Linked DNA regions of Astyanax mexicanus. The protein of the gene in region 1 interacts with the protein of each later gene in a biochemical or structural test. Links are inferred from orthologs where the notes say so. Each region holds a gene or a part of one and is shown on either strand. Other genes may lie near its edges.

Evidence for each region.
Region 2: the proteins of tfap2a (region 1) and cited2 form a complex in vitro, tested with the Homo sapiens proteins (2 studies listed by BioGRID, with this or other methods). The link is inferred for Astyanax mexicanus from reciprocal best matches to the Homo sapiens genes TFAP2A and CITED2.

What each region holds. Positions count from the first base shown.
Region 1 is NC_064408.1:107,713,155-107,721,689, reverse strand, and holds the start of tfap2a (transcription factor AP-2-alpha), read left to right. Parts: upstream 1-4,616; 5' UTR 4,617-4,646; coding exon 4,647-4,700; intron 4,701-5,087; coding exon 5,088-5,507; intron 5,508-6,645; coding exon 6,646-6,697; intron 6,698-8,198; coding exon 8,199-8,427; intron 8,428-8,535.
Region 2 is NC_064408.1:57,924,346-57,932,803, forward strand, and holds cited2 (cbp/p300-interacting transactivator 2), read left to right. Parts: upstream 1-5,039; 5' UTR 5,040-5,522; coding exon 5,523-6,188; 3' UTR 6,189-7,504; downstream 7,505-8,458. UniProt on the Homo sapiens protein: Transcriptional coactivator of the p300/CBP-mediated transcription complex. Acts as a bridge, linking TFAP2 transcription factors and the p300/CBP transcriptional coactivator complex in order to stimulate TFAP2-mediated transcriptional activation.

The DNA.
Region 1 (8,535 bases):
TCCCTTACCGCACTTCATAGGCCAACAGCCAAAGCTTCCTTAATCAAAACACGTCCTCCAGAAAAGCAGCGATCATCCACACTGAGTGTGTATAATCCACGCTTTGGTTGCAGTCAGATCTGCACCTGGTGTGTAAACGGCGCTCTGTAGGATTTGGGAGTGTTTTGTACCATCACAGGTGTAGCTCACACACGTAAAGGCGCAGTGCGCATGCGCCGCGAGGTGGCACTCTTTTTATGACCAGGTGAGTAGATTTTGTTCAGGTAAAACCTGGAATTTCGCTTAAGGACAGGAGCCTAAATGAGATAGCACGGCGTGTGATCTGTCCTCTCCAGCAAGAAGAATCAAGCATGTCAGTCGTGGGCAAAATGTTAGATTGGCAGGTACGTGCTATCCCTTTGGGTCATGGAGGTGTGTGTGTGTTTATGTGTGTGTCTGTGTGTGTGTGCTTGCTTTTACTTTTGAACACAGGTAGCCTATACTTAATGCGGTAACTATTGCCACTGCAACTAGTAGATACATTCTGTTTCAGCCGCACTTTTCACGTGCCAAGGAATTGATCGCTTCAAATTGAAGTGAAAAGTTTAACGCGTGAATTGGTGAATCGGAGAAATCGTGCATTTTTTAAGCAAATCTTACTCTAAGCCTTTGACGAAAAAACAAAACAGTCAACATAAGACTGTCTGGAGAACTTTTGTCCTGAAGGAAATATATATATTACAAGGGCTGATATATATATATATATATATATATATATATATATATATATATATATATATATATATATATATATATATATACTCTTTAAACATTGCCAAATTAATCATACTAAATTTTGCAAGTGGTAAATTATTATTATTATTTGAGAATTAAATCAACCAAGTAAACTGCACTAGTTTTTTTGTCGTCAAAAGCTTCTTAACACAACAGGTAAAGTATTAAAATGTATTTTCTTAAACCCCAACACAGGTATTATTTAGCATCGAAGGGCAGGACGCGGAGTTTTCCCACCACGATCGCTGAACAGCAAGGGGGGGCGCAAAAAATACACTCTATAAGCCTAAACATATCTGCAGAAGAATGCAGTGAGGTTGGCCCTAGTTTCAGCAGAGCTTGCTGCTTATCACCAGCCCGGTGTCTTTACGGCCCCATGCACCTCTGCTGCACTTTTCTCTGCCCTAATAATTGCTATTGTGAGCGAGTTTCATTTTGCCCTTTCATTAATGACAACTGCTTTCAATGGCTGTTTTTTTACCCCCCACACCAATGATAATAGCTACTGAAATGGAGAAGGCCAACGCCTTAAACCTGTCGCCCATGTGCCTTTTCGCCGTGACCCGGGGTCCCGGGGTGCTCGTGTCGCCGCTGTCGCGGGGCCAAGCCCCTCTCGTCGTCCACTCCCTCATTCACATTTAACGACCGCACGTTGTTGTGTTAATTATTGACAGCTCCAAAACAGCACTCTCAATGGAGCTCCTGTACCTGCACTAGAATCGACCGCTTTGCATAACAGAGACAGCAGCGTCTCGCGGGCTAAGCTTCTCAATGGGTCTAAAACAACAGTTTACGAAAATCCTTGCGCCAACAAAGTATCTGTGGCGACGGAGAGGTGTGCTGGATATTTGCATTGTACCATAAAGGTCACTGATATGCTAAAGAAGAAGCTTGGTTTTGAGAGCTGTCATTGCAGCAATGTTGAATTGCACCTGAAACGGTGCAATAAAAAATGACAGATGCAATTAGATGATAATAATAATAATAATAATAATAATAATAATAATAATAATAATAATAATAATAATAATAATAATAATAATAATAATAATAATAAATGGCCTATATATACTGAAATATAAATATAGATTTATAGTATGTAGTTAAAATATAAATGTTTTTTTTTTGTTTACAAGGTTGGAAATAGTTTTGTTCCTTTTGGTCTCATGCACATTTTTTTCAGCTGAGCTTGCGCATTATAGGTAAACTTGCATTTTGCCAAACTACTTTACAGCAAATACTACTACTAGCTGAAGTGGGGATGTATATTAGATGTTCTCGAGCTCTCACCCAGCAGATAGCCTACTGTACCTCTGTTGGAGTTGGGGAGGAAAACAAAGCTCTCCAAACACTTCAGACTTCAGATCTCTGAGCGAATGTTTTTTTTTTTGTACCTGAGTGTGTTCATTGGTGATGGCTAGATGAAAATCAAGCTGATATGCTAATGAGGGAGTTCTACCAGCGCTGTGCGAGCCTCTAAACTTCCACCATTAGAGGGAGATCTGAGCGCGCGCACTGCTCAGCCCGCCGAAGCTCTGCCATCTTGAGCTCTGCGCACTGGGTGTAAAACTAGGCAAAGACGCTCTATACTCACTTCACAACCCATGAAAATGCTGTGGAAATTAACAGATAATATTAAATATGAAGACTGTGAGGTAAGAAACGAGTTTATTTCTATTTAAGATATTTTTGTTGCGCTTGAAAAAAAATCTGCAGAATTTTATAGTGTATTTCATTATAATTTTTATTTAATAATAAGTAATGCATATCTAAAAGTGTTTCATATTTTTTACATATCTGCACGTGCTTTCGTTATCAAACATGTTCATGATTTTTGTTTAGAAATAATAACAATATAATTAATATCAATAACAATTATTATTGTCTCAATAACAATATTAATATATAATAGTATATATAGTAAATAGTAAATATTCCGGATGATGAAATCATGAGTAATACAGCATTTTTGACAAAAACACAACTTGCAAAATAAAAACCCCAAACACATTTGCATAAATAAACATAGAAACATATTATTAACTTTTTTAAATGCTAATGTCAATGTATTGTTATAATAATTATTATTAAAAATACAATTTTCATTACTATTATTAGCATTGATAGCATTAATATTATTAAGAGTAATACTAGTAAAAATAATAACAATATTAATAATGATGGTGATATTATTATTATTTTATTTATTATTATTTTTTTAATATTATTAATAATAATGTTATTATATGTTACTAAAAAATAAGTGATACTAATCAATGTTATTATTAAGTAACACTTGTTATTTTATTTAGATTTTAATCAATTAATTTTAATGCTAAAAATAAACTACCAAAAATTAGCACGGTGGTTTTGCTGTAGCTGTTTCTTTTAAAGCTGTATCGGTGTGATCGCTCAATTGGAAGGAAGGTTAGGACGGTGCTGCCCGTGTGTTTGTGTGGAGTGTGTGGATTGCTGCAGCCAGTCGAGCATGTTTTTGTTCCCCTACGGACGACAGACACATAAATTTTGACTCTTCTTTCGCACGAATTGTTCAAGCTTGTGTGATTTTATTTATTTGCTCGTTTAATTTAATTTACATCGAGTATTTTTGTTTTTTAAATAAAAAACCCGTGATGAACAGGATCGCGTGCGAATAAGCCGAGAAGCGGAGGGGTGGACGTTTGCTCTGTCCCTGTGTGTGTGCGTGTGTATGTTTTGAGTAAACGTTAAGTCGTAAACTTTGGAGTTTTTTTGGCCAGCTCATAGAGCCAATTCAGCTGTGTGTTGTTAGTCATGTGGCTGAGCTCTCGGGGAGCAGCTTGGGAAGGCCATGCGACAAAAAGAGAAAAGTAGTAAAAAGAGAAGGAACAGCACCAAACATGCTCAGAAATTCCCTAGCCCTCGTCGGATTCTCTTAGCAGTCTGAGGCGCTCGACGTTTTCTTTGCTTCGGTTCTTAGTTGGGTTCCTCTCTCTCTGTCGTTCGTTCTTTCACTTTTCCTCGCCCTCAAATCTTTTAAAACGCCCCCCTCTCTCTCTGATTCGTCAGACGCCAGAGAATGTCCCTCTTTTTGTCTCTCTCTTCCTCCCTCCCTCTCTCTCTCACTCTCTCTCACCCACTCCCCCTCTCTTTCTCTCCCCATCTCTGATTAGATATACTGATTCCTCATTCAATGGACGTCATTTAGTGCGGAGTCTGCCTTGAGTTGCTTCCTCGCTTCACGCTCGATTTCCGACCATTCTTCCCTTATTAAGTATTCGTGTAATATTAATAGTCATGAATATCTGCTATTAGGAGTCCGAGAGGAAGAAGAGGCAGCTCTTTTGCTAAATATGCGCCCAAGCGAGGGAACAGCTTACTGAGAGAGCGAAGGAGGCGAAGGAAAAGAGGATCTAAGAAACTTAAAAAACACTCCGATCCGCCAAGACCCTCCAAACAACAACAACAAAACTGCATTTATTTCTTTTTTTCTTTTTTGAATTTTTTTATTTTGGTTTTGGTTTCCGTCTCCAACAGCAGATGAAGAACATTGGGAATTTTACCCAGGCTCTGATGGATTATCGTGCTTCTTCTCCGCGTATTTGAATACTGGGACTCCGTGACCTCGACGCACAGACAAACAGAAAGAACGCAAGAAAGAAAGAGAAATACATAGAAAAGCCGCCTCAGTGCTGTGGGCTCTTTATTCCGGTTCGACCGCTCCGGCTCTTTGCCCAGGTTTTTGCGTTCTCCTTGCAGAAACGCTCGGAAATCTCTTCAGATGTTAGTGCACAGCTTTTCCGCGATGGTGAGTGAGTGCGGGGCTGGCGGGATGAAAGTGTAGAGAGGACCGTCTTTTTTCCCTTTTTGTGTATATTTATGTCTGCATCGTCATGCAAGCCATAATATCTAATATCAAATACCATTACAAAGACTTTTTACTGGATGTGAGCTCTTGATATTTTTTTTTCAATATTTGAATATATTTTTGTGTGTTTTTTTTTTTTTTTTACAATTTTATGTGTATTTTATGGGAAACGAAATTGATTTATGTAGTCAAAAATTATTGTTATTATTATTATTATTATTATTATTATTATTATTATTATTATTATTATTATTATTATATTAATAGTAGTCGTATCAGTAGTAGTAGTGGGAGTTGTAGTATTATATTAGTAATAATATATTATAATACTATTATTAGTATTATTGTTTGGCCACTATAATATGAAAAAAATCTGATATTTTTTGCACGAAATTCTTTAGAATTCTTGTTGCTGTCCGCCCTTTCTTATTTTCTCTTCTTTCTTCTCTCTCTCTCCGTCTTGCAGGATCGCCATGACGGGACCAGCAATGGCACGGCCCGGTTACCTCAACTGGGCGGTGTGGGTCAGTCACCGTACACAAGTGCGCCACCGCTTTCTCACACGCCCAACTCGGACTTCCAGCCGCCCTACTTCCCGCCGCCCTACCAGCCCATCTATCCGCAGTCTCAGGACCCTTATTCGCACGTCAATGACCCCTATTCCATCAACTCGCTGCACGCGCAACCACAGCCCCAGCACCCGGGATGGCCAAGCCAACGGCAGAGCCAGGAGAGCAGTCTACTGCACCAGCACCGCGGCCTGCCCCACCAACTGTGCCGGGAATACCGCAGAGAGGTTCTGCTGCCGTCCGGCCACGGTCTCGAGACCGGCCTTACAGACTCTATCCCAATCCACGGAATACCTCACTCTTTAGACGACGTGCAGGTAAGAGCAAAACTTCTCGTAATCCTGTAGTTTTGTATTCTAAAGCTTTTTTAATGGTGAAACTGTAAACAATGTATTTGTCTGGAAATAAAAGTTACTAATTATCGGGCCAACAAATGCGTGTTAAAATAGTTTTACTGGTTAGTACTGGTACAGTAAGTAGTGGTGACTTGTATGTATGTATGTATTTAATGTAGGTATGTATTTAATATGCGATTTAAAGGCATTTGAGCCTTCAGAATTTAGATTCTGTGTTTTTGTTAACCTCAACAATATAATATATATATATATATATATTAACTAAAAACTGGAAATTTGCGTTTCTTTAAAATTATTTTTAAATAGCCAGCATGTTTATCTGGACAGAAAATGTGCCAGTGTTAAATCAAAGCTGTCGGTGTTACATTATACACTTTTTAAATTAAATTAGCACTAATAGTGTTGTTTATACACTGGTGAATTTACTGTGTGATTTTGTCTTTTGCATTTTTTATATTTCAAAAAGACTAAAGTAAAAAAGTACTATAATAAGTACTTTATTAACAATCAAATAATTGCACCGTCATCTCAGGAACATAACATGCTATATTGCACATTTTGCTTTAATACTCTCTGTCATTTTTTGGACGTGATTCCTGGTTACCCTCCTCCTCTTCCCCCATTTCCTTCCCCTTTAATTTAATTGTAGTCTGCCCCGTGAAAAAATTCAAGCGAAGAGAAATAACGAGGCTAAATGACGCATTCGACCCGGAAACATTTTTCAGAAATACTCAGGAATAATACCATATATATTCACTGCGTAGAAAACATTTATTTCATTTATCGCCAGGCAGGTGGGATGGGAGAAATAAATAAAAATAATAATAAAAATAACCAGTATATTTAAATCGATTAAAAATATTTTTAAAGCATCGTTGTAATTTCTCATGTATTTGTCTTTTTACAGCTTGTGCAAGAGATAAAGTACAGTTTTATTGTGCTACACATCACTATGCATTTGGTAGTGGACTGTCATAAACAGTGATGAGATTCATTGAATGGTTCCTCGTTTGCTTAGCAATCTGATTTTGCCAAACCAAATAGAAGCCTCTCTACATTCTGAGTGTGTTTTAATGGCTTATTCTGAACTATTTTACAGCATGTTGAGGATCAAGGAATTCACATCCCTGACCAGACCGTCATCAAGAAAGGTATGCGGCTTTTAAAAAAACCCTGCGTCCGTATTGGCTCTGCACAATCTCACCTTAAAAATAAGACTTTTTGCAGGCCTGTTTTTCTAGAAAGTCTATTTAAAAGTCTAAATTATTTGAAATTTGCTACAGCTAAAAATCGCCCTGTATAGCATATCCGTAAGCGTGTGTGTCTGTGTGCATGTGTGTATTAGTGAGTGAGAGAGAGAAAAATGGTGCGTTCTTTATATCGACTAGTTCTGCACCATCATGATTGCATTTAAAATGGCAGCCTTAACGCTGGGCGAGCACGGATTTTTGATACTTTATCCACGAGAACCGTGGTTGATTTTCTAACAGTTTGGTGCTGTAGAGTTGGCTTTGTCTCCTGGTTGGAAGAGAATGAATGCATAAATTGAATCCGGGCAACTCGTTTTATTTTATGTTTTTTTTTTCGATGCGTTTGTTAAATTCGTCGTGGGTGAATATTAAGGGATGTCTTCTTTTTCTCTCCATATCTGCGCCGTAATTGGTTGTTATATTAGCAATCTCCGGAGTTCGCTTAACTGCCATTGTCTCTATTAGCCTCCGCTGAGCCATTAATGTCACTAGTGATCTATCCAAACGTGCGCGGGCCTTTGTCTCCGTTTACCGTGCAACGCAACTGGGCACCCCTGCAAAGATACACTACAACATGCGCTGCTCCTGGGTTTGTTGGGCAAGTGTGTGTGTGTGTGTGACAGAGAGAGAAAGAGAGAGTGTGAAAAAGAGCGTGTTTTATTCCATGTGTTTGTGAACGCGCGCGCGCGTGTGTGTGTCTGTGAGAGAGAAAGAGTGAGGGAATCTGGAAAATGTGCAATAAGCAGAATAGCCTATTTCTGAATGAGGTCTTTTAGAACAGTAGATGGGATGTAAAGATTACTTTTGATTAAATGTGACTGAACGTGACAATTAGTTGATTATTATTATTATTATTATTATTATTATTATTATTATTATTACAAGAATGTGGACATTTTTGAACACCGTTTTTAAACAATGTTTTTTTCTTTATGCTAAAACTCTGAAAAATCAGGCAAGGGCATCACATAGTGTTTACAGATGCGCTGTTTCTCTCATTACCCCCCTCGGCGGGTCATCCAGACAGTGTCCAAATCGCAGCAAATCCCGCGCACGTTCCGCTGTCATATTCTTTAAGCCTGCACTGCAGTCACAATCGCGCTAATATTAAATATTTTGATGGCTGGGCCACTTCATTACCCGAGGCACATTTGAGCAGTTACATTCATGAGCTGAATGAAAAGCCACTGCTATCGTATCTATTTTCCTTTCACCCCTCCTCCTCAGATAAGAACATATTGCCTTTGATTTCACAGGCCTGCGACGAGATGCGGTGCATACGCTTATTCCATATTTTGTCTGTGTGAATATCAATTCTTACCCCTCATACCCATACCTATCTCCATCCCCATTCCATGAGACTATATGAAGGTTCTCAAAATCATGTCCTGCTTTCTTCTAGGTCCTGTTTCCTTGTCTAAGAACAACAGCAATGTGTCGGCCATCCCCATTAACAAAGATGGGCTCTTCGGCGGCGTGGTCAACCCAAACGAAGTGTTCTGCTCGGTCCCTGGCCGCCTGTCTCTACTCAGCTCCACCTCAAAGTACAAGGTCACGGTAGCAGAAGTGCAGAGACGCCTCTCGCCGCCCGAGTGCCTCAACGCTTCCCTGCTCGGCGGGGTGTTGAGAAGGTGAGGTTTTGCTTTTTTTACCCCATTAAATGTCACCAATAATTACATCCGAGCAGTCGATTCCTGGCTGTCCAAACAGCTCAAATTGGCGGACATTAGGGATCTCAA
Region 2 (8,458 bases), about 50 Mb from region 1:
TATCCTAACCAATATCTATTATGCACGTGCTATCTATTGTATTGAATTGATTACAATTAATTACAATTAAGCTGTCACTACATAATAGCCATGTACCAAATCCTAGGTGAGCTGGATGTCTTGGCTGCTTCATCACAGAAGACTGTTTCAAAGTCCAGTCGATGTTCAGAACAATCGGAGTGTGCAACTGATGTACTGTATCCTTCAAGGTTACTCACAACTAACTGAAACACAAAAGCTGAGCAAAAATAATGAAAACCAAAGCAGAGTCAGCTTTAAAAGTGTAAGTTTGGTTATCATTCTATCATTATCACATGTATGTATGTGAAGAAGAAAAAAAACATGAACTTCGCACTGCAATTTTACTATGTGATGTTCCAGTTTAGTGCCACCAAAAAGCTTTGTTAGACTGTTTCATACACATGACTAACAGGCTACTGTGAGGAAATCTTCACAGGACAGTCCTACTGCCTCACATACATGCTGCTCCTCTAATCCAGCAGTTTGATTTAGTGAAAATCAGTATGAACATGAACAACACTGAACATGAGACAGAATGTTGGTTTAGTTTGGGTCTGATCTGCATTAATTTCCTTGGCCTTTGCCATTACTGTGTTACAATGTTCAGAAAACATAATTTAAAACCTGTACACCACATTTTTCATGTATGCTCTATGGACAAAAGTATGGTGACCAGCTAATTTATTATTTCTTCCAAAATCAAGGGTATAAAAAGAGTTTATCCTATTTTTGTTTGGGTAACTGTCTAAACTGTTCAATGGAGGCTTTCTACTAGATTTTAAAGCATCGCTGTAGGAATTTTATAGCTAAGCCTTTTTTTTTGTCAGCAAGAAAAAGAACATTTCAAAGGAGTTATTGTAAGCAAAACTTTGCCATGCCATTTGTATGCTCAAATAAAGATGTTTAGAAATACTTCTGGCCCTAACTGTGTTTGCCTGTTATCTACAATTCCATTTGATGTTAGAAGGGTGCAGCATGTCTCTTGTGTCATCTTCATGGTTAGCTGTTTTCCTTTTTCTGTTTTTGTGTAAAATCAAACAAAAAGTGTGCACTAATATGTGCAGATAATGTCTTTTTCAGTATAGTTTTGCGTAAAAATGAATACATATCACTTCACTGACATGAGAATCATTCATCACTCAAATAATATCTAGTGAACGGCAGTCATGTGGTCAGATGAACTGAACAGAGGGTGGCTCACAAATAATGCATGACAACAGATGGGCCACAGTCTGGAATTGTATACCTAAATAATGCGTGTGACTAGGGAGAATAAGAGTAAGGTAAATGTTTTTAATAAAGCTGACATAACTAATACATCCCTCAGCAGTACCTGATGGCAATCCTTTCAAAAATGGCTTATGAAAATTATGAACACAGCGATTCATCAAAAAGTGTGCTAAATCATTGTTCACACTATGGAGAGAAATGTAACCTTAAGCAAACACATTAAATGAAATCTGAATATAAACAAAACCCTCAGGTAGCATTCTGTAAATAAACCCTCTTTCACATAGAGAACATAAGAGCTCTGGCTTTCACTCCAGCTCACTGTTCAATTAAAGCTGACAAGAGATGACTCACATCAGCCTTTATTCCCTCCAATAACGCTGCTGAAATGGACATGTTTATCCACAGCATAATGAAGGCTGACGTTTTTTTCTCTGAATCTGTTTGGAAAAGCAGGTGTCTCCTTACATGGAGAGAGCTCTCTGTTATCTCGCCACCAAGCTCACAGAGTGTGCGCTCCATGAAAGACAAGTGGGTTGAACTCGATGCTCAGCCATGAGATTCATCAAAGATACATGCTTCACATTCTTTCCTGACATGCTGAACCTCTGAAAGTGGGAAGAAATTAGCCGGATGACTCTGCTAACATACAACAGATCTGGGACGGCTGAAGAAAAATGTGAAGGAAATGAAGTCCTTTTAAAAACAGAGATCAATAAAAATCAAGCAGCCATAACAATAAAACCACTGACAAATGAAGTGAAGTATATCTGGTGAGAGTAGCACCAAGTAAAGGGTGGAATATTTTAGGCAGCATCTGAACAGGCAGTTCTTAAATTTAAGGTTAAAAAAGTAAAAATAAGGATCTCAGCGACTGAAGCAAGTGCTGTTCACTCTGCTGTCTGCAAGTTCCTTGATGACACAACTGTGGTGGGTCTTAACCTGTTCCAGGATGTGGAAAAAATAAGGGGATGGTTGTTGAGTTCAGGAGAGTACAGAGTGACCGGTCAAAAACAATATTAAAAAACTAAGCAGACTAAAAAATACAAACAGATCATAAAATACACACATATATACTCTTTAAATAGTACTATTTAAAATTTTTGCAGAGGCTTTAAATTACAGAGGCTTCAATTGGTTCTTACAGTAATGACATAGAGAAACCTTATTTGATCCATAAAGACTCATAAAAAGGCATGTTTGTAATAGAAATGGGTGAAGAAGTTTAGCATCAAGTAGAGATTTTTCACATTCACACACCTCTACTTTAAATATTGTTTAAATATGTATGTGGTACTATTTTATGTTTGTTTATTTTGGTACTTACTCAGATTATGCATGAAATGCAAATGTATTGAAATATTGGATATAATAATACATCAGATCACTCTTTGCAATACACATGTTTACTTTACGCAATAACATTAACACATCTGATTGGGCCGGGCTTTGGGGACTAGGCAGTTCAATAGTCATGAGTGATTTATTGCAGTCTACACTAGATAAACATAAAACACCTTCCCCCTGCACCTTTCAGGAAGCGCAGAGGATAAACAGAGGGGTGGGTGGGAGCAGCTCTGTGATAAGCTACACATGGGAGATCCATGTGCTACCACTGTGCTTTGTTCCCCTTTGCCCCTGCACTTTTGCTTTCAAGCCGCTGCTTAGCCTCTGATTGAGGTCGGTGCACCAGCGGGGCTGGCTTATTATTGACTATTCGGGATCTTAGCTGACTGAAGCTTGAGTTTTACACACAGACACGTAACAGAATTGTGACCAAAACAACAAGCAATTGCGTTTCCCACTATAAGAAGCAGTGTTTGTAAAGCTTGCGAAGGAGGCCTCAGCAAAGATTGTTTATACAGCTGACATTGCCAGTTTCTAATTCTTATATTCTATTTTGTTACCCATACAAAATCCTTCAAAAATAAGAAGTGATCTTACTTGTTAAATAAAGTACTGGCTCTGATTAAATATGTTCATTTGCTCATCTTGCATTTTTTCATGTTTTAAGTGATGCCTTGTTATTGCAATAACAAGTTTATATATACATTTTATACACTAAATTGTATAACTGGTTTAGTAAAGATGGTAAACATGAAATATAAAAAAATGGAATCCTGCATATTTCTTCGTCTAAAAATCTATTTACAGGTTTCTTTATTACTGTTACCCCTGTTGCACAGGCAGAAAAAAAACTTATTTGATTTATTACAATCATTGTGCCTCCAAAAGGTAATGTTTTGGTGCATTTCACATATTAATATGCTATAAACAAAACTATCGCGTGTCTATTTGAGTTTAGTGTACTTTTTTAGAATCAACAGGAATCAAGAGATAATGCAGGGAAAGGAAATATCCCCAACAAACTAAAGATTGTACGGCCCAGTTGGACTTTGGTACAGCAGGTTGTTTTCCATGTAGACAAGAGGCACACCGAACTCTTGAACTGATTGGTTATGACACCAAAATGTGCAATAGGTTTCTAACATAAGGCTTTAGTGGGTGTGAGGCTCATTAGTTAGATTCCCTAGTGTGACTGATTCGAACAGCTCCGGCATTAAACAAATTTGGAATGCTATTGTCCTTCACCTCGGAATAACTGAAGCAACACAGTGTCAGCGTGCATGCCTGAACAGAAACACATGCAATGTGCTTCTACTGATTTGTTACAATTACTATGAATATTTAGATATATCTGCCAATATATGAATTAATTAGGTGGCTTGGTATTTGTTGGTATTTCGATTACTATAATTCTATAATATAGTTTGACACTTTTACCCCCCAAAAATGATTGTGGAAACTTCACACTAGACCTCAAGCAGCTTGGAATGTGTGCCTCTCCACTCTTTCTCCAGACTCTGGCTTAAAATAGATCACTCTGTTAAATACATCTATATGATATATGGGTTTTACATTTTGAACTGAATTACTGAAATAAAGTAACTTTTAAATTATATTAAAAATTTTTGAGATGCACCAGTATTTACGTCTAGATTTATTCTAATCTGTTCATGTTTCATAAAGAGCCACAAACTTAAGCTCCTCATACTAGTGAGCACCAGTGAGGAATTAAAGAGAACAGAAAGCAGACAGAGAACAGAGAAACAGAATGAGTGGAAGAAGCCCTGTTTACAGAACACAGAGGTGAAAAATGCTGCCAGACTTGGCGTGACCGTTCCACTATTCTAAAAAATGGCATGTTTTTATGTCCAAAAATAAGTCACTCTGGATGTGAAAGAGCATTAAGCATGGGATGTGGGTGAAGGAAACTGCAGTTTAATTAAATGTTGTTGAGCAGGCTAATCCTCCTTGTTTACTCTCTAAAACTGACTCCTCCAGGCAGTTATTTTAAGCCAGCTGTAACAGACAACCATTTAAAGACAACGACAACAAATCCCTTGGAGCAGTTGACTGTTTTATCATTAGCTGTTGTTCTGAGGCTGTGAGGGAAGTGCAGGACCTGTGTGCTACACAGTGAGACGTGACCGGGGTGTTTGTGACTGTTGAACAGAAATAGCTGCAGTGAGGTAATGTTCAGCTCTGAGAGGACACTGCTCCTCTACCTCCACTGCATGTTTTGTGAATCCAGACTTCGGTTTCTCCTATGTTGCTTTTCTTTCCCGCCTCTATTCCGACAGGCCACGCCTCCGGTGCGCTGGGATTGGCTGAGTGTTTCGTGTTCTGCAGAGCTGGTTGGTGTTCCTCAGAGTCGTGAGTGTGAGTCAGAGTGGAGGAGGCCAGTCGCAGCGCAGGAATAGCCCGAACCCACTGACCAATCCCAGCGCGAGGGGGCGTTACTGGAATCCGCGTGGCCCCGCCCCCTCTCTGAAGGTGTGTGTTTCTGAGTGTGAGAGCGAGCGCTCGGAGCAGTGTGCTGTAGTGAGCTGCTTCAGTGTGTTTTAGTGTGTTTCGGTGTTTTTGAGGAGCGGACACAGCGCGGGCTTCACTGGGAGCTGGGATTAGGGATCGAGTCCAGTCTTTTGGAGTTGTTTGTATACTTTTTTTCAGCCACTAAAGGAAGTAAAAGAAGAGTTTTGGAGCGTTTTGCGATTTTCTGACCTCCTCCTTCAGCTCAGCTCCAGGGATTTCCACCGCATCTTCAGCTGAAGTGATCTGGTTGGGAAAGGCTGAAAGTTCTGCTACTGGTGCTGCTTGTGGTCGACGCGGCGCGCTGTGCACGCATGGGGTGCTTTGCCTGAGCCGCCGCGTGCGTGTGCTGTTCTCCCCCCTCCTGCTCCCCCCCCCCCCCCGTCCCGCAGGGGGGAATGGTCGACCGCATGATGGCTATGAACCATGGCCGATTCCCTGAAGCCGTGAACGGTCTCCACCAGCACCATCACCCCCACCCGCAGCAGCAGCAGCAGCAGCGCAGGATGGGCATGGGGCAGTTCTCCAGCCCCCTCCAGCCGCAGCAGCAGCAGCACGGCTACAGTAACGGCATGCTGGAGCCCATGCACTACAGCAGCGGCGCTGGAAGCCACGGGCTCCGGCACCCGGGCGGCAGCGTGGCGGTTCCCGCGCGCTTCGCCTCTCAGTTCGTGGCCACCGGCGGTCAGGGGCAGCTGGCGGCGAGCATGCAGCTGCAGAAGCTGAACACACAGTACTACACCCAGCACCACCCGCACCACCACCCGCAGCAGCCCCAGCCCCAACCCCAGCAGCACCTCCTCCACTACCCGCACGAGCTGCAGGGCGGGTTCCGGGACGGCGGGGCCAGGCTCGGGGCGGCGGGCAGGGAGCCCCCGCAGCTCCCCGCCGCGCACAGCGTCATCGACACGGACCTGATCGACGAGGAGGTGCTGATGGCGCTGGTGGTGGAGATGGGACTGGACAGGATAAAGGAGCTGCCCGAGCTGTGGCTGGGCCAGAACGAGTTCGACTTCATGACGGACTTTGTGTGCAAACAGCAGCCCAGCCGAGTCAGCTGCTAATATACCACCACTGACACACCACTACTACCACTGCAGAGGGGGCTTTTATAAAGCTGCTTATTTCATTTCTCATAACTGACCGAAACCCTGGAGCTTCTGTGATTTATGATTGTTTTTCCCTCTTTTGTTTTATTTATGGACACTATTTTGTTTCACATTTTCTTTTATTTAAACTTGACATTCCATTTTATTTTGTATAGTCATTTTTCTTTTATTTTGTTTTCTTTTGTTATTTTTCTTTCTTGACATTTTTTTAAGGAAAAATCCACTACAGCAACCACAACAAGAAGGGGCCAGATGGGGATTGAACTTTTTTCTTTTCTATTCTGAACGAGCCCATGTTGTAGATGATGGTTGGTGATAATGAGTGTGTTTAGCATAAGGGGTGCATGCCTGAAACACTTTTCCTTGGCTGAGTGACACCCCCAATAGGTCATGCAGAACACCACATGATTTTTTTTTTGACACAGAGTCTGCAGGACACGTGGAGAAGACAATGGAAGCCTAGAACCCATGAGCTGTTTGTTCAGCATCTTTTGATTTGTAGCAGAGACAAGATACCAACTTGTGCATTCTGGTCAAATCCTTCAGTTTCCTGTGTTATTTAAAGCTGTTGATCGGAAGACCTGAGTGAGATCAAACTCGTGTGGATGCATCACTATGTAGGTGGTTATGTATCATGATTGTAGACCAGTATATAGTGTAATTGTCCCCATTCAGCAATGTGCTGTAAACTTCAGTGGCCATAATATTTACACAATATCTATGCTGTTGAGAGACCATGGGTGGAAGCTTTGAACCATTAACATTCTTCCCTACAGCTTCCTGATCGTCTGATCTATCAGCTAAGATCATTCAGAGACCTGTTCCTCCATAATTTTACTGAAAAGAATCAACTGTGGGAGTGATGTGTGTGTGTGTAGGTGTGTTCTATGCTTCATGCTAAAATTGGTACTATGGTATCAAACAGGGAGAGATATTTAAGAAGATATAGGACAGTAAGTCTTAAGGGAACGGTGGAGAAAAATGTTGCTGTATTGAATATCCACTGCCCTGTTCTGCTCTTTTTGTGAGTGGAGATTAAAAACAAAGCCTGGAATGTTCTTAAAGGAAGGCCATGTGGGATTATCACCTCCATCAGTTATAGATACACCACTGTGCTTATCTAGTATGCGATACATGGCAATACTACTGTGTTGAGGCTTTCTAGGAAAGTTTGACAGTATTTTTGTATATTTTTTAGAAGAAAATGTTAATTTATTATATTTTAATTTGCAAACATGAATAAAGCAGCAGAAATGTATTACTGAAGTGAACACTGTCAAGGTCATTTAATTTATAGATGTGTATGGCACTGGGTTTATGTACTTTATCAGTAGTATTTGGTTACAATACTACATCATTAATGTGCAGAGGAATGTGCACATTGTTTGGACACCTGAGCACATTTATTTAAAACTCATTTTTCTAAAAACAGTTGGTACCTTGTGATCTTTGAGAAGAACAGAAGTTTGATTGCACATTCCTCTTTCCCATCCATTGCATGTCAATCAAATTTACCAAAATTATGACTCAAAAAAGGCATTAGACAATACCTACAAATAATACTGTACTTGAGTACAGCTTTGAAAACACAAAATTCTAGTATTTTTAGACTCTGTATATGCCTATTTCCTAATATAGAAGCTTTTATTTATTTTAACTTTTCAAATGTGCCTGAAAGTAATGCATAGAACCCGTAGAATAACAAATGTGTTGTTCCCTTAAACAATTAAGTGGGTTGTTCTTTAGAAAATTTTGTCTAAAAACCCTTTTTTACGGTTCAAAGAATCTTCAGATAATATAAACTTTTAGGAACTGTATGTGTAATCAGGTTTACACTCATAAACCTCTTTTCAGACAAGGCTATGGTTCTACATGGAACCAAAAATACTTACATGATGCTTTGTCTGGTTGACTGAACCATAACAATTCAAAGAGCCAACCTTTAAATACATTAAGTGGACAAATGTACTTGGACACCAGCTCATTTGTATTTCTTCTGAAATGATTCTGCTTTTATTGTAGCAGCTGTCTCTACTGCCAAGTGAAGGCTTTCTACAATAAATACAAATCAGAATAAGTTGGAACAGTATGGAAAATGCAAATGGAAAAACAAATGTTACATTAACTTTGACGTCTATTTCATTGCAGACAGTATGAACCTAAGCTATTGTTTGTCTGGCCAACTTCATCACATTTGTTTATACAAATCCATTCCTTCATTTCAG